Linked DNA regions of Lepisosteus oculatus. The protein of the gene in region 2 interacts with the protein of the main gene of each other region in a pairwise test. Links are inferred from orthologs where the notes say so. Each region holds a gene or a part of one and is shown on either strand. Other genes may lie near its edges.

Region 1 (7,442 bases), on a different chromosome or scaffold from region 2:
AGCTGGTGGGGTAATGAAGGGGTTTTGCTTAAACCAGTGGAGAGTAAATGATCCTCAACTTTTCATCAAGCTGCCTTTCTGCTTCTGGTTCGAACTGACGCATCCAGCTGACCATGAGTGACCATGTCTCTCTTCTATAAAATTAACAGGATGTATTACATCCGCTGACTTTTAAAACATGGGTTTCTACTCATCTCTGTTGTACATTATTTCAAGGAAATCATTTTAGAATTCTCCTGTGTAAAGACAGCCATCCCAAAGCTCTATAAAATAAACTGTATAAATGAAATGATATTTAATAATGGGGAAAATGCCGTACGTTGCTCCAAAAAGATTTGTTCAGCTTGAACAGACTAAACCTCCAATTTAACAAAATCCATCTGCCCTTATTTTATGAAAATGAGTTGTCATGACACTGGTTAAAAGGAAAATTTGGAAACCTCTGAATCTTACAGAAATGTTTGAAAGGAACTGTTACAAACGCAAAACATCTTGCACAGCCCTAGTTAACAATCCAGCATTTGTGGGCTAAAGTGTAGATAGTCTTATCTGAGAGACCAGATGGGTCTTTTAACACTTGTCTTCTTCAGTTTTCTTTGCTGTTTTGGAGGATGTGATCCCAGCTGAGGACTTATTATTAAGAATATTTTAAGCTTTTATTATAGTAGATGTAATATTTATGATATTATAATGTTTGACTCAATAATCACACTGGGTGTTTCTCATGTTTAATTAATGACCAAGAAGTACTTATTTTTTAATGTTTGTGTAATAAAGCTGAAAAAAATAAATTAGACAATTGTATTTTTCTGAAATAAATGGAAATTTAGTTCTGTCTTCTGTATCCTTTTTACCTGGTCACATTACAGCTGCTTACTCTTTGCAAAAACACTGTGTAGAAAGATTGAGACTCTGCAGTGTTGGTAAAGCTTAATTCAACTGCACTTCCCACAGTCTGAACAGTCACATCCCAACCTTACTTTGGAGCTGAGGAAAATGTTCTGATAAATCAATATTTGCTGGTAAACAGAAACCCTAAACCAATTCAATATCTCTAAAAATCCCATTCAACTACTGAGTGCCCTGCCCACAGGAACATCATGCAAAAGATAGCCTACAACAGTTTTTCATTGATGAATGCTGGGGAAAAATAGATTGTTTCCTGCTGTCTTGCTACTTCCAGAGGTTTTCTTCGATAGAACAGAAATCATAACTAGTGTGTGGTGCCTCTCAAGGCTTCAGAGCTTTGGGCCAGGCAGAAACTCGTATAAAGTAGCCCATGCAATGCCAACTGAAATGAACAAATAAATGAGGAGTTTCAACACTGGACCCTTAACAGAAATAATTGTAGATAACTCCAAGTTATCTACATTATTTCAGATATGAATAGAGAGCATTTGGCTTTTAAAAACTTGCATTCACATGTGAAACCTGCTGCCTGAAGCAGACAGACTAACACAGGAAATGACTTGATGGAGAATTTTTCTTCTGTTTTTGAATTCTGCTCACCATGAAATACCCAGATTAAAGTACAAGTAATGCAAGTTAAGCCCAACTAGTCCTTTTAGTGGTTAGCAACAAACTGTTTCAGGATCTCATCCAACCAGTACTTGAAATAAGACAGAGCTTCAGCTTGAATTACATGACTGGGTAGCTTGTTCGAGATTCTTCCAACCCTTTGTGTAAAGAAATGCCTCCTTTCAGGTAGTTTTCACTTTCAACCTGTGGTTTGTGTTTTCCTATTTATACTGAAGACATTCATTTGCTAGACTTTGTCACTTAGCATGACCTTCCTTTAAGACCTTCACAATAACTGGTTCCTCTTCTCTGGACTGATACCTTAACAGAAATACCATAATGACCATAGTGACTAATATTCAGTAATATTTCAGAGGTAAATGTAGGTACAGTTAGTTACAGCATACAGTACATTCCTACAGGAGTTCAAATCAGAGCAACTGTATATTATGGTAAGCTCCATTAACCTCTGTGAGGTTATACCCTTTTTAAATCAGATTGTTTTTTTGCTTTGGGTTATTTATTTAAAAGAATTATCATTAGGGCTCTGAAGGTGTGTTAACTATTGTGGTCAGAGCACACAGACTGATACAACATGAACTCTTTGATCAGCAAATGGAATATCCTTTCCAGTGGCTGCCCTCTGAAGGACATGGAAGGGTCATGGAAGGGGACCAACAGGTACCTAATTCTAGTTTAAGGGATTACTGGGATAGTCTGAAGTGCAAGAACATCAACAACCTCATCTGATGATTTATTTTAGCTTTTGTTCAGTTGTGTTCTGGATCTGGGGCAAGATCAGTGGTGTTTTCTGAGGGAGAGCTCAAGATTACACAGAATTCAAGAACGTGCACAGAGGTACTGCATGAAGACACACATCACTCTACTGAGTGACTCTGAAACAAAGGTGAAAATATTATGGCAAAGGCCCAACAAAAACATTTCAGGAAAGAGATATGCTGTGCGCATCGTGTATGTACACTATCTGTGGGTATTCAAATATTTGAGAAATGTCTTTTATCCATCCTTCTTAGAAATGCTTTATCCAATTCAGAGTCACGGGGGGAGCCAGAGTCTAGCTCAGCAAGCAACGGGCACAAGGCAAAATACAGTACCTCCTGTATGGGAAGCCAGTCCATTGCAGGATACACACAGACACAAACATACACATACTCACACCTAGGCCAGTTTTCCCAGCAGGCAATTAACTTACAGTACCTGTGAGAGAAAACTGGAGCACTTGGTGAAAACCCATGCAAACACAGGGCAAACATACCAACTCCACACAGATAGCACCCCAGGTCTGAAATTAAAAGCAGGGCTCCATGCAGCACTGCAAAGCCGCAACGCCAACCACTGTGCCACCAAGTCAAACACCTTTCAAGCATGGGAAATTGAAAAATGTTTATGCCCACAAAGCCCGGAACCTCTTTTCAACTTCTCTAATCTCATCTCTGCCAAGTCTGCAATTCGGGCCAGTCTAAAAACAATTGATTTTCTGTGTTTGCTGTGAAACATTTTTTAAACAAGGCATTGTGTTTTAAATAACAGTCTGTAACATTATCGGGTTTTATGACAACTCTTCAAGCAATCCCTTAAAATAAAGAATCAACTTACTGCATTGGAGTTTGAAGGTGATTATTAATATTGCTGTTCTCCTTAATTATATAATGTGAATTTCAGATTAAAACGTCCACTGGAAGAACAGTGAGCGCTGATCTATTAAATTATTTAATACATGATTAAGATGAGCAGGATAGCGTTCCCTTTGTTTTGCCTCCCCCCCAAGACTAAATCCTACTTTAAATAAGGCAACTGAATAAATAATAACCAAATAATAAGACAATGTTGATTTCCTTCTGATGGTTTACTCTCTCACAAAATAATTTGGATGAGTCTGGTCTGAGCTAAAAACTTTGACAACACACTTGGTCTGGATGACAATTTTATCCAATGTGACTTGTGTTGTAAGTATACACACAGTGAAGTGTATAAACACTAAGAAGCACTATATCCAATCGTCTGAGAAGAAAAGAACAAACAGGAAATGTTTGTAGTATAATGTGCAGTCACCATATTGTAGACCAAAAGGAGCCTGAGTAAGATCTGTTTTGGATGTCTAGACGTAGCTCTGGTGACAATAGTTTAAAAAGCAGAGAGTCAGATCACATGATGTACATTTTGAGCAGTGGGCTCAGAGGAGACACCATAAGGATAATGATAGTGCAGTCCTGACGTTTGTGGATAGCTGATTCTGCCAAGAGAGGGGATTATGAGGCCAATATGAGAATAACCACAAAGTTCAGGAGCCCAAAATTGTAAGGTCTCTTCTAATCCACTCAGAGCCAAAGGACATTGATTCATTCATTGTGAATTAGTAAAAACAAATTGGTTGTAGTCCAGATCTCTCCCATTCTCACAAGAAACGAGAGATGGTTCCACTCCAAACTGGCACTTTTTAAAACAATCCAAGCATGATTTGATAACATGATGTTGGAAAATGGCACTAAGACAATGGTCTTGAGTTTAATGTCAAACACTTTCTGATTCAGGTATTTCATAATAATGAAATAAATAAGGCAACTATATTTAACTAGATTTCTTAACATTTTCAACTAAGATGACTTTGTGAGAAATCCAACGTGCACTCGAATTCAAGTTCAAAAGTGAAACTTTAAAACACCATTATAAATACTGAAACTTCATGAATACGACTGAATTAGGAACCTTAATTTTTATATAAACATATATTTTAACACGAACATGCAGCCTCTAAAAGGGATTTTTTTTTTGTCTGTAGTACAGCAGTGCACTAAAAGTGATTAAATCCTATGGTCTCCTTGAGACGTGGTAATTGAACATAGCGAAAGAGCGTCTATGGTTGATAATCCCAAACCATCCGGGTCCCTAGTGGGTTATATGTGATCATGTGACCTGAACTCAGCCATCTTGTTGTGGAAACGAAGGGAGACAGAGAGCTCGCATAGATACCCTGCACTGTTAGTAAAGCAGAGGTAAGACAGCGCGGTGGAAATTGTAGCTGTTGTTATTAAATAAACCTAGACGATTAAAATGAACATGTCACTATCGTCTTGATCCCTGTCCCCAGTTGATCGGAAGCAATTTGCTCCGGTTTCGGGACCCGCATGGTTGAGTGGCCGTGTATCTGCGGGCTCGAGTGTGGTAGGGGTGCCGTGTCGGGGCTGACTTCAGGCGCCCTGGAACGGCAGGAAAACGGGGTGTGGCGGCAGGCTGCTAGGCCGCACGGAAGGTTCAGGAGAGTGATAGCGAGGGGAGGGGAGGGGGTCGGTTAGGGATTAACTGGCGTGTCAGTGTACTTTCATACAGTTGGGGACTATCTGTTTGTCTCGTTTCGAAGTCTTTTGCTCGTGGTATTTTGTGGTCGATGAAGGTGGTCGGACTGGTGCTGTTTGTGAGGCTGGGGGAGGGAAGTCCTGACGAAAAAGTTGTGACAGTTTGCCCACAGAGCACACAATGCCTCCACGAATTCCAGTAGCTGCTCTGGATTCTGCAATGACAAGACAGTTTGAAACTGCAGTTTGCACTGGAGCGCTTTTCCAGGTGGCCTACCGGGGCACCCCGACGCCTGAGCTGGAAACTTTAAAATACCCACTTTTATTCGTACCCACTCTTCTCGAGTCGTTTCTTTATTAAGCAGCTCGTCCTTTAAAAGGCTTTCATCCTCTGATGCATTATGGTGATGTCGAATGTGGTTCGAGGGATGACTCCCGTTTACATACAGTGTAGAAATAAATGCTGTGTTTTTAAATACTTTTTTTTTCTTACGCGAGTGAGAATCTCGGATTTTTCTGAACGCAGCACAAGTTTCCCATGCGGATATTTTCGCGAGGCTTTCTGTCAGCCGTGCCCTGATGTACGTGCACCCTGTAAAAGTATTTGGTAGTTTTGTCTCTTCTGAACTTTATCGGGAAGCTGATTTTTTTTACCACCTAGCGTTTTAACTGTGTAGGAATCGCCTCGCTCTGAGCAAGTCTTTTTGAGTTTTTGTCTTCAGCTTTAAATTGCGACTTTCAAATCGTTGACTGTTAAAATTTAAAAGTAGATTTAAAAATCTACAGCTGGTGACTCATCAGTGATGTTTTTCATATAGAAAGGTGAAGCAATAATAGGGCTACAACTTGTTTGTTCCATGAGGTCATTTACAGCCACGCATCTCAACCGCGTGGGCTCTCAAAGACCTGCATTAGGTTATTTAACTGCCAGGACAGGACTGTCAGATATACTGAAAGAACATCTGTTTACTGAGTGGGTTTACGGAGCATTAGAGAATTATGGCAGAGTGCTGTACTTTGTGGTGCTCTCTGTCTCATGGAAGGTGGAGATAATGTGTGGATGTGCTTAGCAGTCCAGGTCTGTGGGGTTCCCGGTATAGAATCTGTATCTGAGGGTTTAAGCCAAGGACTGTGTTGAGGACAGCTCACCTGTGCTTATTGGGGGCAGGTGAAGTCTGGGGACTGGCAGGGGCCCGGCTGGGAGGGGGAAGCCTCTGACCTTTTTCATATTTGCATTGCTGGGAATGTGTGAGCTGAAGCTTGGGCAGCATCTTCTGTTAAAATGCAGGCACATTGGGCAGGCAAACATTGGCACGGGCAGGCAGGCATTCCTTCTAGAGAAAACGTATCGAGTTATAGTTTACCTTGCAGAAGCCTCCCATTACTGTCTGGGACTGCCCAGCAGATTCTGTGCCAAGAATGGGCTGTGATCTTCTATATCAAGGCTGCAGAGTGTGTAGGTACATTTCTGCCTTGATAAAGGAGAGGAGCTGCACCACAGAGTATTCTCATTAATTTATATCAATATGCAACATCTATCTCTTTTGTAACTGTTTCTATATGTATACACACTTAAAACACTTAAGCCGTTGTACCTCTTTATGGTCTGATCTTGTTAGATCTCGGAAGGCAGAGTGGTCAGTAGAGATCCTTATGGGAATCGATGTTGCTGCTGCAGGTGGTGTCAGTGGGCCAGTAGGTGGCACTTTTTTCTTTGAACCAGTGTTTTGCAAATCATCGTCTCAGGGCACACCAGTCTCCTGACAGTCCTACACCTCCCCTTTATCTGCTGTGTATTGGGGCTTCAATGTGTCACCTAAGTGGCGGACAAAGGGACCCGTTTCATAAATATATAAAGCAATATGGAATCCTTTATGATCAAAAGTGCTATATAAATGCAGTTGTTTTGTCTCTTTTGTCTCTGTGTGGATTCAGAAAGACATGTATGTGCAAAAACATCAAAAAGGTGCTTATCTATTAATAGGTGACTCTGTTTCTGTCAAGGCGGAGGGCAAGGCTGTTTGTCTCTCAGGTGTCATTAAATCAATGAATGACACCCTTACCAAATATTCTTTTCTTTGCGTTTGACTGACAGGGCATATAATTGGACTGAACTTATTAATTGTCACCGGTTACAGGGACTCAAAAGAGTCCTGTATTATTTTTCATCACTACTTCGCCGAGGCTGGAATGAGAAATTTGTGCACCTGCTGCCCTTTCTTGCATGTGGATTCAAATTCTGATTTCTTAAGTTTAGGAACCTTATGGTGATCACGCATGAGTCCCTACTTGTGATTAGTCTATAAAGAATATGTTCTGGAAGTTTATCAAATGAAACCTGTAGACTAAGAACTTTTTTTTTTTCAGTGGGTAATCCGCCCACTCTTTGGTAATTGCATTAGTTAGGCAGACTGCCCACAGTTTGTCCATAGTGAACAATTGGGACCAGTGTTGTGTTGTGTTCCTGTACACTGTGTGTGTTCTTGGAGGTCCTTTCAGAAATCTAAAAAGGACGTGTTTTCAAAAAGTTGCTGATTTAAAATGATTTTATCTCTTTAACATTGCAATGAATGTTGGCATTCACACAAGGCATATTTACAGCGTAGGCAG
Region 2 (7,859 bases):
CCCCTTTTCTGTTTTTTTGTCAAGAGATTCATTTTTGTGCAAGTTTTTAAACCAGGTTTAAGGGGTTAATGCAGGCACCTATGTCCAATTGTGTCTTTGTGGATCCATCTTGAGTTAATTGGATACATTGCAGTATCAAATTTGTAATGCAATTCATTGCTATCATAGCCTGCTGCCAAGTGGATGTGCACTAAAATGTTGTTTTGCTGTTACATTTCAAAAGTCATTTTTTGCTTATGCTTTAAACCAGCTTTTTAAAAAAAAATATTGATCATCACTGTTGATACAAATAGTGACACAGACATTTCCCGACAGTGCTGCTATCATTATCATTAGTTATAGGCCACTTCCTGGTAGCTTCCTGATTACAGATTGAGGCTTGACTGTCACTGATGAATCATCACTGGTCAAACTGCTGAAAACTGGCTACAGCCATTAAAATGGACTCTTCCCCAGTACTGGCCAAGTAACTTGTAATTGAAAGAAAGGTTTTAGAAAAATAAATATTTTTCTTTGAGGCCTGAAGGCTCTCTGCATTAGACTATTATATATACAGTACCTGTCACAGTCATGATAACAAAATAAGAAAAAACGCTTTGTTCATGTCAGTATGAAAATAATAGAAATCTTTTTCACTAAAGCATTAGGGTGTTTTAATTGCTCTGGATCTCCACCACAATGATCACTTTCAATATTGTGATTAGCTGTGTCCCTCCTTCTCTGCTCACATACTGTACAGTATCTCCTCAGGAAAGGCCATCTCTAGCCTGTCATTTTTCAGTCTCAGGCCTACAGGGTGGAGTGGGACATTGATGGAGAAATTCAGTAATTGATCCCAGCTTTGATATTGCACTCAGCCTTTTAAATACCGGTGAGCAGCACCACAATGTGAATGACAAAGAGTTGGCACACACCACTGCACACAAGCACATAATGTCCCTTTATAATTTTCATTTTACTTTTTTCGTTTAGCATTGTCTACATACTTGTACCATACATACTTCATTTGTAATATCAGGGGCTAGACATTTCACAATTTCAAAACTAAAAAATAATCCTCCATGTAGGACTAAAGACATGCCACTGTGAGTTTAGTTAACACATAAAACATAGCAAATTTTCAATATATCCTTTGACATATAAAACGCTTAAAATGAACTCAATATTTTGTAGAAAATAGACTATAGACTGAATTACCACCCTCACTGCCAAACATTTATGCATATATCTGTATGTTTCAGAGCTCTATATATTTTATTGCTCACTGACAATGATGGTGAGTGAAGTGAAGGGAATGCTGCTGAAAGAGATAATGCATAAAATCATATCTTTATTACAAGGGACAGTACAGCACACATGAATTTTAACAACGTGCAAAGTAGTGAATATAAAAAAAGGATGCAACAAAGCAAAATCTCTCTATGAAAGTCAATAAAACAATTAAAAATCAAGAATTAAAACTGCCATTGATGTCCCGGGTCATCAACAGGTTTTTCTCATGCTTTAAACTTTCTTACAGATGGACCCCAATCAGCTCCACCATTGAATGTGCTCACTGAGGGCCCGTGGAGCACCTGCAGTGCTGAAAAATCATTATGAAGGCTTGCTCCTGTGAGCTGTAATCTCTGGACATGCTCAGATGAATACGGACTAACATAAATTAGCCCTGTCTGGCACACATCAGGCTGTGCGTGAATTTACAGTCTACAGTCTGTATTAGGATGGATGCTGTATTCTAATGAGAGGACTGATGAAGGTTAGCCCTTTTTTCTTGTGGTTAGGTTGCAAAAAGCTCACATACTGTATTCATCTCACACCAGGCACAATTTTACTCAAATTAATCAGAGGAGGGAGTATACAAAGAGGAAATTAACACATTAACATATCAAATGGTATGCCTTGTTCTGCAGTTTCTCCAGAAGTAACAGGTGGCCATCTTGGCTCAAGGCCACAACACAGGGCCTGAGATCTGAACCAAGATGGTGGCGTTCTCACAAGGCCACCTCTCTCTGCATCTCATTCTAATGATCAAAAAGAAATATGAAATTATATATATTCTTAGAATGTATTTTGATTATGCTGAAGGTTGACTTTCTTTTTATGACATGCAAGGGGTCTTTTGGGTCAGTCAGGATATTATCTATAACTTTCATTTTCAGAAAGTAAACAGCATGTGTTATCTATCTATGTATATGCCAAATGCACACTTAGGTACTGTTTATATACTGTACAGAGATTATAACTAATCTGGTAAATCATCATACTCGTATAAAGTATGTACGAAAAAATGTATAATACCCTATAACCATGTGCAGAAGATTTCCTATAAATATGAGCCCATATGGCAGTGCCACTTTCTGCTCAGCTGGGAAAAGTTTCAGGCAATTAACCTTCTACACTGAAGAATCATGAGCCATGATTGGTTCTTCCCATGTTGGCCAGATACACAGATCTCTGGTTGTTTTTGCATTATTCCTCCGACTAGTTTCTAATTTCTCACATGCAGGGATGAAAGGCGACCAGATGTGAAAAACAATTTCATATATACTGTAATTGAAAAAAAACTATATCAAAAAGGTAAATGTAAACACATCTATAGAAATAATTCCATTGGTCACATTCAACCAATCAGATTTTACTGTATACCGTGGTAAAACCAAACTAAAGTGTGTTAAAACCGCAGTAAAACCACGGTGAAACATAAAGATAAACCATGGAAAACTACGACCAAACAAAGAAAATGAATGATCAAAGCATGACAGTTTGTAGAGTTAATAATTCTTAATAATGAAATCTCTCTATTGGAAAAGAAGAAAATTACAGATTACCACTTTAGGAAAAAAAGTACCTGCTCTTGCTGTTGGTTTACAAAGATGAAATGCATAACTGGCTATAAATCTCAGTTTAAACAGTACCTCTTATGATCTGCATTCAATTAACCTGCTTACATTTTCTTACGTTTATAAATATGTCTGATTTCTCCAGGCTGATTGAGAGGAATTGTGCTTTGTTAGGGTTTTACATTCCTGCAGGTAATTGTTTGTTTTTTTTGTTGTTATCACATAGTTGCAACACTATTTCTGTATACATCCTTTTTGGTCTTGAGCACCTGTTAACGTGAGAAATAAATGCAGTGAATTGCAGGTATGTGTATGAAGTAACTGTTTGTCCAATAACAACACTGCAGCAGAATTGGAATTGTTCAGTGACTTCTAATTCTTTTTCCTGTACGTAAAGCTAACTGCTCTTGACTCCTAGAAAGGTGTTCATTCTGGTAAATAGATGGATGGATTTATTAAAGACTGAATTTCCGGTACTTTCCTACACCTACTGTAGAATGCAAAATGGCCTCCTCAGTCCTAAAATCTCCCCTTATTTATTTATTTTTCTGATGGAACCCTATTTGATGACCAAGCATGAGCTAATAGTAGGCACTAGTATTTGGCTCATACAATATATGCTGGTAGAGTTTACTGTCTGTCTATTCATCTTTGTCAGCTAGAACTCCAGGACTCAAACAACCCTAAAGCTAAGAAGAAAAATCAATTTGGTTCACCACAGGGGAATGATTCTTTCTCAACATGGGTTTCACTTTTCTCTGCTAATCATACTCCTGGTGGGACTGTCCAAAAACTGTTCTGTGCAGTCACTTCATTTCCAATTCACACGTTTGCTGCTTGGCAAATTCATTTCTTTCCTTTTTGTTCCATGGAACCATGTTACCATGGAACTCAACCGCAGACAACGAATTCATGAGGTCAGCCCCGAATGGAAGTCTTGAAGAGTTTCCAGAGTATTTTGAAGATTCCCATTTGCTGGCCTTTGGAGGGAGTTATATTTCCAAATACCATCTCTGAAGGTACTGTACATTTGGGCAGCACTTTCTCATGTCCTGTTCCTTGTGAGGAAGCTGCCATTAGGCTTGAACATCTTGGAGATAGACACCACAGCTGAAACTGAGATGTCTTCCAGATGTTTTTTTGTAACTGAAGTTTTGTAACTCTCACTAATAAACAGAGGCAATCAAGAAGTCTTCCAGGAACTTGTGTAAACTTTGCAAGGCTTTGTGAACCTGACAGAAGACTACAATAACAGAGGACTGCATTTACAGCAGTTCAACATATTCCCTGGCTATGATATGAATAGATTTGAACATTGTATATGTAGAAAGGTATTATTTTTACATTTATGCTACTGATATGCAGTATTCAGTAGGTTTTCATAAATTTTAGCACATTTTGATTATTTAGTCGTTTACACCTGCACTTTAAATCTGCTGCTTGTTCTAGCTGTTACTGTACATAACAGAGGTATATTTGAGTACATTTGGGTGCAGCTAAGGCAAACACATAAACAGTGCCGTATCTTTTTATTATTTTTGTATGAGTGGCTTATTTCAGGTGCAACCGTTTAAAGTAAGGTTTTAAAACCGCCTTAGACGAAAGGGCTTCTCTAGAGTCAAATGCAAAGTATATGTACTGTATATGTGTGTGAATTAACTTTGGAGGAAATATTTGGTGTAACGGGGCAAATTATTGCAATCAGAAACAGCATGTTTTTTTCCATGCAATTCGATGTAGTAGAATATAACAAAACAGTTTTATGATTTCTAAAGCACCTTCCTTAGCTTTTCAACAAATGGACGATACAAGGGATAAATATCACGTGGATGCCTCTACCCCTGAAAGTGTGGGAGTGAGCGGCTCATAAATTACGTCAACGCAAGGAGTCCGGGATGGTGTTGCAATACCTGACTGAAAAAAAAAACAGTACACATTTAAAGAGCTCCTGTCTTTCACGATCCTTTCCCATGTTGCTGTATGGATTCGTCAGGAGCCGGGAGGGTACCTAGGCAGTTAAAAGCACGGGTGTGTACCCCTTTAGTAGGCGGGGTATAGATTTAACTTGTCTGCGCAAAGATGCCGGGGCAGAAGTATTTTTTTTTTTCAAAAAAAGTGTAGGTCTTCTACAGAATAGAAAACACAAAAGACGCACTTTATTTTCCACACTCTGGGGAGGAGGAAGATTTCTGTATCCCGAGTCATCGCAGTGAAGGGCCGGGAAGACCAACAGGAAGGCGAGAAGCAGCGGGGAGGGTGGGGGTACACGGTTTGGGGCGCCCGGTGCGCAGATCGGTTGCGCACGGTTAACGGGTTAAGCAGCCCGAGTCCCCCCCGAAGGTGGTGCCTGCGCTTCGCCGGCGGCTGTGCGTGGAGGAGGGGGAGGTGTCTGCGGGGCAGGTGGGTGGGGTTTTCTCGCGTGTGCTGGGGGAGTCAGCTGAGCCTGCAGCCCGTGAAAAACTGCCCGTTTTGGACGGGGGATGTTGTGCGCTGGGGAGACCGAGAGAGGAGAGCTCCGCTGAGCAGCGACTTCGCGTTGGTGAGCTCTGCGGCTGAAGTTGCGTTAAAAGTCGACCCTTCCCTGGCTCGCAGCCGTTATTTTCTTTGGGAGGGCTCTGGCTTGAAGGTAGGTCTCTTGAGATTAAGCAGCTTGTGGTATTTTTGTTGCTCCGGTGCGCTGCAGCGACTCCCCCGCTGTGTAGCGAACAAAGTTTGTGAAGAGCTGAGTGCCCGGAGATGCGAGGCTGGGTGGGTGGGTGCGCTGGGGTGCGAGCTGCTCCGGTCGCTACTCGGTAAAGGGAGAAGTCAGCTGTCCCCCCCAACACTGTATTAATGTCAGTCGCGACAGTTTCCAGCCTAAGTTTAAAGCAGGAGTGTCCTCGCTTTTGCGGTGTGGCACAGAAAATCAGGATTTGCACCAAGTGGTCTGAGTTGTTAAATCGAGCTTCTGGATGAGTTGGGTTGCAAATGTTAACGTCGAATTGAGAAAGCTAAAGAATCCAAGATTTGTCCGCGCTGTTTTGGAGACTTGGAAGCCATGGTCGCGTCAAGCGGGTTTATATACACATTTCAAATCCCTTTGCGGAAAGAAAAATCGGCGTGCGACAATATATAGCACGTAGTAAGTGTGGCGTTTAAACGAATCCCCAGTCGAGTTTAATACCAAGTTTGGTTCAAGACTTTAAATACAATATTTTTGGAGTGGTTCGGTAACTTTTAAGCAGATCTTCGTTTAGCGTTGAGTTTGGGGGTGGGGTAAGACGCTTTTCAGAGCTTTGCATTATTGAAACGGGCAAGCCAAAGTCTTTTAACACATGGATTGCGTTTTGTTACTGCGCTACGTTCTATAGCTTTGCGCATTCAAAGGCGTATTTGAAACATTTACAAAATAAACTTAATTTGTATCGTCGAAGGAGTAAATAATTCCGCTTTTACATTTCCTATAAGGCACTTGTATTATTTGGCGAAAAGTGATGTTTACTTTGGCGTTGCTGAATCAGCAGAATTCTACGTGCACTCTGCAGTAGTACAGCGGTAATCACGACTGTAGTTGCAACATCGACCTCATCCCCACCGAGGGCATTATGTTAATGTAGTGAAAAACATCCACCGTTAAGATTTTTTAAAGCAAAGCGTGTTCTGACACATCTCGCAGCTGGCACTGCAGAAGTGGACAAAGGCATAGAGACTGTCGGTTTCAGTTTACACAAGACTGTATTACACTCCTGTGTAAATACCAACGAGGTCTTGGATAATAACTGGATTCTGAAGTTAAAGCGCGCATAATGCAGGCTACACAGACTGCATTCACTTTAATGCTGCCATTTTGTTCCTTTTAGACTTTATAATTATATTGATTTCCGTATTTAGTAAAATATTGGTTTTACTAAATGCTCAATTGGTAAAGGTTCACACGATTTCAATTTAACTATGCATTATATTCCAGCACTTCTTAAGGTGCAATCGATGTTATTTTGGGCAGTGCTAGAACAAAGTTAAAATAAACAGGTTTAAACATTGAAATATTAGCGATTGTGTTTTGGGGTTGGGAATGGTCCTAATTGTTTATCTAGTGGTGTTTGTTTGAAAGAAGTTGCAGTTAGAACCACAAATGTGAAACTACTGTACAGTGTATGAGGTAACTTGGGGCTAATACCTAAACCCTTCAGACGCAGTCCTGAAAGATAAAGGGGTTTGCTAAGGGTGCTATACTTCAAATGTCATCATTTCACACTTGAGCAGCAGATAATAAGGCTTTAAATGTGTGTTTCCCATGAAGAGGATATTTTGTGCTTTTATAGGCTTTGTGAAGTGGTGATCTAGCTAATTTTTGTATCCTGATCCTTTGGATGGCCCTTCTGTTTTGGATTGGTCCTTTTTAGGAATTGCGTTATGGCATCTGTATCGAAAGAGTCAGTATAGGGTGATGTGTGGACAAAGACGGACAAATGGGTTCTGGTTGTTACAAGAGTTCCCTTTACATACCAGGTCTGTCACTCCAGGCATGAAGCCTTACCTACGTCTCGGGAATCTGCACAGAAGCCTATTTGTAGAATCTGAATGTTCTTTCCTTTTAGTAGATTCAGGAAAAAATGTGCACAATATAGTTTTGTTTTTAGTGCCTTCTGTAGATGGTGGGTTGATGTACTGCAGGGTCCCTCCAACAGGGATCTGGAGAACCCCATTCCAGTCTCTCGTGTAGGTCACCTTTTGTCTCCCCATTCCACGGATTGGCAGCACCTACGAGCAATTAGAGCATTAAGGCTGGGGGAGGCTGTTTGTTCCACTGTGCTCGTTGGGTAGTTCTAGTTGCTAAGTGAAAATAAAATTTCCTCCAGCTGTTTTTATTAAGAGTGCCCAGAGTTTGGCCTTCAACCACCTGGCTGGGAAGCCTGTTCCAAAGACTCGCAAAGTAAAGAAACATTTCCTCTCCTCCATCCAGAATGAAATGCCTTTTAGTTTTGTTTTCCCCTGTTTGACCCTGTGTCCTCTTTCTCTACTGGTGTGAATCCTAGGTGT
Region 3 (7,015 bases), on a different chromosome or scaffold from region 2:
AAACACTGCTAGAGCCACTGCTGTCCCTCTCCTCTCACACTCACCCTGAATTCACCAGCACACACACACACTGTCACACCTGACTGTACTGTAGACACTGCTAGAGCCACTGCTGTCCCTCTCCTCTCACACTCCCCCTGAATTCACCAGCACACACACACACACTGTCACACCTGACTGGACTGTAGACACTGCTAGAGCCACTGCTGTCCCTCTCCTCTCACACTCCCCCTGAATTCACCAGCACACACACACACTGTCACACCTGACTGGACTGTAGACACTGCTAGAGCCACTGCTGTCCCTCTCCTCTCACACTCCCCCTGAATTCACCAGCACACACACACACACTGTCACACCTGACTGGACTGTAGACACTGCTAGAGCCACTGCTGTCCCTCTCCTCTCACACTCCCCCTGAATTCACCAGCACACACACACACACTGTCACACCTGACTGGACTGTAGACACTGCTAGAGCCACTGCTGTCCCTCTCCTCTCACACTCCCCCTGAATTCACCAGCACACACACACTGTCACACTTGACTGTACTGTAGACACTGCTAGAGCCACTGCTGTCCCTCTCCTCTCACACTCCCCCTGAATTCACCAGCACACACACACACACTGTCACACCTGACTGGACTGTAGACACTGCTAGAGCCACTGCTGTCCCTCTCCTCTCACACTCCCCCTGAATTCACCAGCACACACACACACACTGTCACACCTGACTGGACTGTAGACACTGCTAGAGCCACTGCTGTCCCTCTCCTCTCACACTCCCCCTGAATTCACCAGCACACACACACTGTCACACTTGACTGTACTGTAGACACTGCTAGAGCCACTGCTGTCCCTCTCCTCTCACACTCCCCCTGAATTCACCAGCACACACACACTGTCACACTTGACTGTACTGTAGACACTGCTAGAGCCACTGCTGTCCCTCTCCTCTCACACTCCCCCTGAATTCACCAGCACACACACACTGTCACACCTGACTGTACTGTAGACACTGCTAGAGCCACTGCTGTCCCTCTCCTCTCACATTCACCATTAATTCACCAGCACACACACACACTGTCACACCCTGCTGTGAACTGTAACACAGCAGACACTGATAGAACCACCACTGACAAAATTTTTATTTAAAATAAAAACATTTCAGTCTTTAAAAACGGTGCTTTCAAGTCTCATGGTATTCTCATCATCGTCTCAATAGTTACCCCCCTCCAAAGCAATGCCTTAAAGAAACAAAACACTCTGAATAGACAAAATCATACAAACGTGCCTTAAAGTAAAGTACCGAACAGCTGAAAAAGAAACTCAATCCTCCCCCTAAAGGCAACACTGCTTTGTTGCTGACCAGCCCAGCTCCAGATCCGGACAACTATACTGGTTTAAACCATCAGAGAGAATAGTGTGTATCACTGGTCCAGGCGGAGACCGAGTTATGAAGAAACCCAGGTCTCAGTGCCTCACTTTCGTGAGTGCTCGGTCACCGAGGGGCACCTAACTCAGGATTTCATCGCAGCGCAGGGCCGTCCACTTTCCAATAAGTACTGAATCGACCCTTGATTGCTGAATTCGCTCCGATCGATAACGAAGGATCAGCCGGAGAGTAGGCTTTAATGAGATAAGATAGATCAGATTTTTATCGTCCCCTGGGGGAATTTTTTTTATGGATGACGGGGAACGCAGGTGCCGGACCTGACAGCCCCCTGCCAAAAACGCACGGCGAGACCGTCCAAAACAACGTCCGTGCGGGACCACACCTCCACGGACCGCACGCAGAAAATCACCCAGCTCCCTGAACCACAGGCCAGCGCCAGCTCGCAGGGATCGGAGTGCGCGCACTGCCCTGCGCGGTTTTAGCGCATCCGAACAAAACTTCAAAACACAAAAACTCGCCGCCGCCGCCGCCGCCACAAACCCGTCTGCACCTTGGTACGGTGACAAGCACCTCAGGGGGGACAGTCCTAGCTTGCGGGGAGCTGCACGGCGCCCCCTGAAAACTGCCCGTCCCCACCCCACACGCCAGGCTCCCGGACCCACTGCGCGGCTGCAGTCCGTCACCTCCACGGCGTCAGAACAGGCGCACCATCGGCACCGTGAACACCGACACGACCCGCTCTGCGCTCACGCCGCCCCGCCAGCCCTGCCGCCCGGTCTTGATTAACGCATGAGCGGCGCAGGAAACGCAGCACCACCTTGTTACAGCACCGATGGCAGAAGCAGCTGCAGCTGCGGCGACGTCCCAGCAACGGCCTACCCTGCGCGGTGCAAAGCGACGTTACTGAGGCTGTCGTGGGAGGAACAAACTAAAAACAAACAAACCCGTGCAAGTTCCAAAAAAGACGGGTGTCGCACAGCTGTGCACGCCGGGCGATCCTGCACCGATCCAGCCCCCGAGATTCCCGGTCGGGAGAGAGGGGGCCCGACGCTGCAGGCCTTCCAGCAGGGAGGGGGAGGAGGAGGAGGAGGGGGGGGCGGGGTGTGAGAGGCACTGACCCCCTCCCGCCCACCTCCCCTCCCCGCCGGCCGCCCCTCCAACTCTACCCCGCTGCTCTCGCCGCGGCCTTCACCTGCTCTCGGTCTTTCCTCCTGCCCTTTCATCCCCACGACGAGGCGAAAGAAACCCTCAATCCGCGCAAGACTTAGAGCCCCCCAAACAGACAAACCGCACCCTTGTCGCTTACACACACACCTCCTCCTAAAAAATACAGTTAAACCCGGGAAGAAGCAAGTCTGGCGCTTACCTGCGTTTTGTTTATGTTCCCGACTTGAGTTTTTTAAATGTATTTCTCTCTCCTTGAATTATTTTGTTCGTCTTCTTTCCGCTGTCTCGATTTTTTTTCCTCCGCCGGATTACTCGCTGCTATTATTATTAATAACTATTATTACTACTGTTGTTTTAAATTCTATTTTTAAATGCAAGTAGTATCCAACAGTCGTTGCGCGTTTGTCGCTGTGCTCACTCGCTCCTTGTTTGTGTTTTAAAAAAAGATGGCCGTCCTACTCGCGCCACGTGATAGGGGAGCTCGAGAAGCTGAGTTTTTCCCCGAACCACAGAAGTCGCCCCCTGTCACGTGATATATGATCCAGCAGGGTTGGAGGATGCCGCGCGGCTCCGGCTTCTAACTCTGTTTTTTCACTTAATGCGCCAGCATAATGTGTGGAGTGCTGTTCATGTGGACCCCTTAACTAAAACCAGCTTGCAATGAAAAACACGAAAGGCCCTCCTGGACCAGGACTAGACAGCTTGCTTTAAAGAGACCTGGAGAGACTGCAGACACACTGACCCCTCCAGGACCAGGACTGGACAGCCCTGCTTTAAACAGACCAGGAGAGACTGCAGACACACTGACCCCTCCAGAACCAGGACTGGACAGCGCTGCTTTAAAGAGACCTGGAGAGACTGCAGAAAACTGACCCCTCCAGGACCAGGACTGGAAAGCCCTGCTTTAAAGAGACCAGGAGAGACTGCAGACACACTGACCCCTCCAGAACCAGGACTGGACAGCCCTGCTTTAAAGAGACCTGGAGAGACTGTAAACACACTGACCCCTCCAGGACCAGGACTGGACAGCCCTGCTTTAAACAGACCAGGAGAGACTGCAGACACACTGACCCCTCCAGGACCAGGACTGGACAGCCCTGCTTTAAAGAGACCTGGAGAGACTGTAAACACACTGACCCCTCCAGGACCAGGACTGGACAGCCCTGCTTTAAACAGACCAGGAGAGACTGCAGACACACTGACCCCTCCAGGACCAGGACTGGACAGCCCTGCTTAAAAGAGACCTGGAGAGACTGTAGACACACTGACCCCTCCAGGACCAGGACTGGACAGCCCTGCTTTAAACAGACCAGGAGAGACTGCAGACACACTGACTCCTCCATCACCAGGACTCGACAGCCTTGCATTAACTGTACAAGAAGCCTTTTCCTTGCTCTGCAGCAGGTGAAGGTTTAAAGGGACCTGCAAGCCCCAGAGCTGGGCGCCTCTGATTTAAATACACCTCTTTCAGCAGCACTCAGGGCAGAGAACGGATGACATATCTTCACACAAAGGACAGTGGGTTTCTGGAAAACGTTGCCCAAGAGCTCTGTTGAAGCTGATTCCCCTGGATCTTATAAGAAAGGGCTGGATAGGATTTGTGGCTCATTAGCAATCCAATTAGCACGAGGGGCAGAGGGGCCTGCTCACTTTTGTAACTCTTTGTATGCACTTGTGCGCTTGTGAAGTGACCCTCCTGTCAGCTGGGAGAACGTTGTGCAAGTCAACTCATACGCTTCATTCCTCCTTCGCCTCTGCAGATCTGGAAACTCCCTTCTGGGACTATTGGAAAACGCGCATGGCTGCGTCCATCACAGGCCTGACCATGTGGTGTTTGCATGTTCTGCCTCCGGTCTGGTTTCTGAAAGGTCACTCTCGGGGTCATTTCCCGCCTCCCCTCTCATGCGTGAGCCTGGGTCTCGTCTCTCTCAGACACAGCTGGTTTCCAGACACCGGGCACTCATAAAATCCACCTCCATAGCATCGGCTTAAACTTCCTCCTCTAGATGTCAGAGCAGCACATATTTTAGGGAAAAAATTCAATATGTGGCTAAAATAACTTTAAAAATCCACCAGCCGTTGTATGAAGTTCCATAATTCAACACTTTTATGCCACATAGAGGAACTTCTTGCCGTTTCAGATGGCTATTGGACTTCAAACTTAAATCAATTAAGTTTTTCAGGGGTTCACATACTGTATCTATATATAGGCGCTAACTCCTCGTTGTCATGCATTTGTTGGTCGCTGTGGCGTCCGTCTATTAACGTTGTCCTACCGGGGCTTTCCGCCTTTCCGGGTCGGACCAGTTCAGCGGTGTCGCTCTAAAACCCTTCCGTCTCTCTGCATGCGAAGCCCCAGGACGGGGAGCCGAGGCCGCTGTCCGGGTCGCAACAGCACGAACGACACCACCGACGTCGATCTGTAGTCTTCAGTTCTTTCACTTGGAGAAAAGGTCAGTGGTTTCGGTGTGCAAAATAAAAAAACAAAAACAAACGAACTAGCTGAACCAATGTCAGGAGCCGTTTTAAGTTACCGCAAAGAGGTGGGCCACGTCATCTGCACCGATGTTTCCTGACGCGTTAAGCCGCCAGAGAAGCTCACCTAATCGGCCTTCACCAGGGCATAAAGCCCCCCTAAACTTAACTCGCTTTATTAAGGCAGAAATAAATGTTGTATGTTCACTGTGCTGTCGTCCGATTTCACTAAAGAGCGCGAACACGTTTATTACGAAAACGTGAGAGTAAAACCGATGAAGCCGAAACTTTGAATGATGAAATCAGGAGGATTTTATTCCGGAACTTTTCGGAACACATTTGCCAGCAAAATAACTCTTCATAAAATGTATTGCTCTGTTAGCTACGACTTGCGTGTCGTCCTGGGATTGTTTTCATTTTGTTTGGCATTACTGTATCTCTCCATTCATGGCTGTGCAAACCAGCAAAGAAATTCTGTCTCTTCTCCCTTAAAATGACACATTCCCTGCGTTTCGCCGCGTAATTCCAAATTCAAATACATTTGGTGTAAACATAGGCTAAAAGCTTTGGAGGCGTCTGACAATCGACCAACAATAACAGTAACAGTAAACCAACTGGATGTGTAAGTTTTACTGACAAAGTCATCATAAATGTATTCCATTGAATATTTAAAGATTAGGCAAAAAAAATATGTACAGTACATGTTTCTGCAGTTTTACATAAAGAATAAAACCCAGGTTTAACCCAGGAATTCTCTACCTTGGTGTTCTCCTTCATATATTAAAAAGACAGTACACATACTCCGTTTATGACTACATTTGTACAGAGAGGAGTGTGATGATATTCTACTGTTGTCAAAGGCAATGCTACTTGGCACAGGACAATATGATTGCATATATATTGCTGGATATTAATGTATTAGCCAATATTGTTCACAAAGTAATTATGTTTTAACACAACACCAACTCCCTCTGCCTGCTCCTCCTCCCTCTCCCTCTCCCTGCCTGCTCCTCTCCCCCTCTCCCTGCCTGCTCCTCTCCCCCTCTCCCTGCCTGCTCCTCTCTCCCTCTCTCTGCCTGCTCCTGTTCCAGTGTGATGGCAGATCCCCGGAGTCCTGTGTCTGTCCCTGCCAGTGGAGGCACTGCCCGGCCACTGGGGGGCGCTGGCGAGGTGGAGATGGACCCCGTGGAGTTCACCCTGCGGAAGCGGCTCCCGCGCAAGCTGCCGCGCCGCCGCAACGACGTCTACGTCAACATGAAGACCGACTTCCGCGCCCAGCTGGCCCGCTGCCAGAAGCTGCTGGAGGGCGGCGGGCAGCGGGAGATCTGCGTGCACGGCCTGGGCCTGGCCATCAACCGCGCCATCAACATCGCGCTGCAGCTGCAGGCCGCCAGCCAGGGGGCGCTGCAGATCGCCGCCAACACCTCCACCGTGGAGCTGGTGGACGACCTGGAGCCCGAGGACGAGGAGGGGGGCGAGCCGCTGACCCGCACGCGCAACAACTCCGCCATCCACATCAAGGTCTTCTACGGCGAGGGGCACTGAGGGGACTGGAGCGGGCAGGGACGCGCTGACCGGTCCCGCAGGGTCTCCGGTCCCGGGGCATTCTGGCTCTCGGAGGACAGCGCGTTGGGAGATCCCGTCTGCACGCGGTGTTGCACTGATCCGCGGCAGGACGGCCCAGGCTCCTGATCGCCCCTGCGTGCCCCCCCCCCCCCAGCTGGTCTCTGAGCAGGTCGTCACTTCTCGGCCGTTGCTGTGGTTTAATGACTGCTGGGACAAGAGCTGACAGCCTGATCACACCGCCGCGCTGCTGGAGAAGGTGCGTGGGTCCTGCTGGGTGGGGTGGGCCTGCGCAGGCCCAGCGCCCTTTCTGCCCCATCGCCCTTTTTCCAGGCGAGAGCCTTGACTCTGTGCCGTGAACAGGACGAGGCTGGAATCTGAGCAGCAGCCTTTCCCTGACGGTGTCGGCCAAG

Evidence for each region.
Region 1: the proteins of grb10b (region 2) and gigyf2 interact in a two-hybrid assay, tested with the Homo sapiens proteins (2 studies listed by BioGRID). The link is inferred for Lepisosteus oculatus from reciprocal best matches to the Homo sapiens genes GRB10 and GIGYF2.
Region 3: the proteins of grb10b (region 2) and gigyf1a interact in a two-hybrid assay, tested with the Homo sapiens proteins (2 studies listed by BioGRID). The link is inferred for Lepisosteus oculatus from reciprocal best matches to the Homo sapiens genes GRB10 and GIGYF1.

The regions. Positions count from the first base shown.
Region 1 is NC_090708.1:19,413,151-19,420,592, reverse strand, and holds the start of gigyf2 (GRB10-interacting GYF protein 2), read left to right. Parts: upstream 1-4,434; 5' UTR 4,435-4,532; intron 4,533-7,442. UniProt on the Homo sapiens protein: Key component of the 4EHP-GYF2 complex, a multiprotein complex that acts as a repressor of translation initiation. In the 4EHP-GYF2 complex, acts as a factor that bridges EIF4E2 to ZFP36/TTP, linking translation repression with mRNA decay.
Region 2 is NC_090705.1:43,180,182-43,188,040, reverse strand, and holds the start of grb10b (growth factor receptor-bound protein 10), read left to right. Parts: upstream 1-4,791; 5' UTR 4,792-4,868; intron 4,869-5,236; exon of another isoform or gene 5,237-5,466; intron 5,467-7,859.
Region 3 is NC_090698.1:9,898,915-9,905,929, reverse strand, and holds the start of gigyf1a (GRB10-interacting GYF protein 1), read right to left. Parts: upstream 3,022-7,015; 5' UTR 2,764-3,021; intron 1-2,763. Other genes in the region: pop7 (ribonuclease P protein subunit p20), read left to right, coding at 6,135-6,584. UniProt on the Homo sapiens protein: May act cooperatively with GRB10 to regulate tyrosine kinase receptor signaling. May increase IGF1 receptor phosphorylation under IGF1 stimulation as well as phosphorylation of IRS1 and SHC1.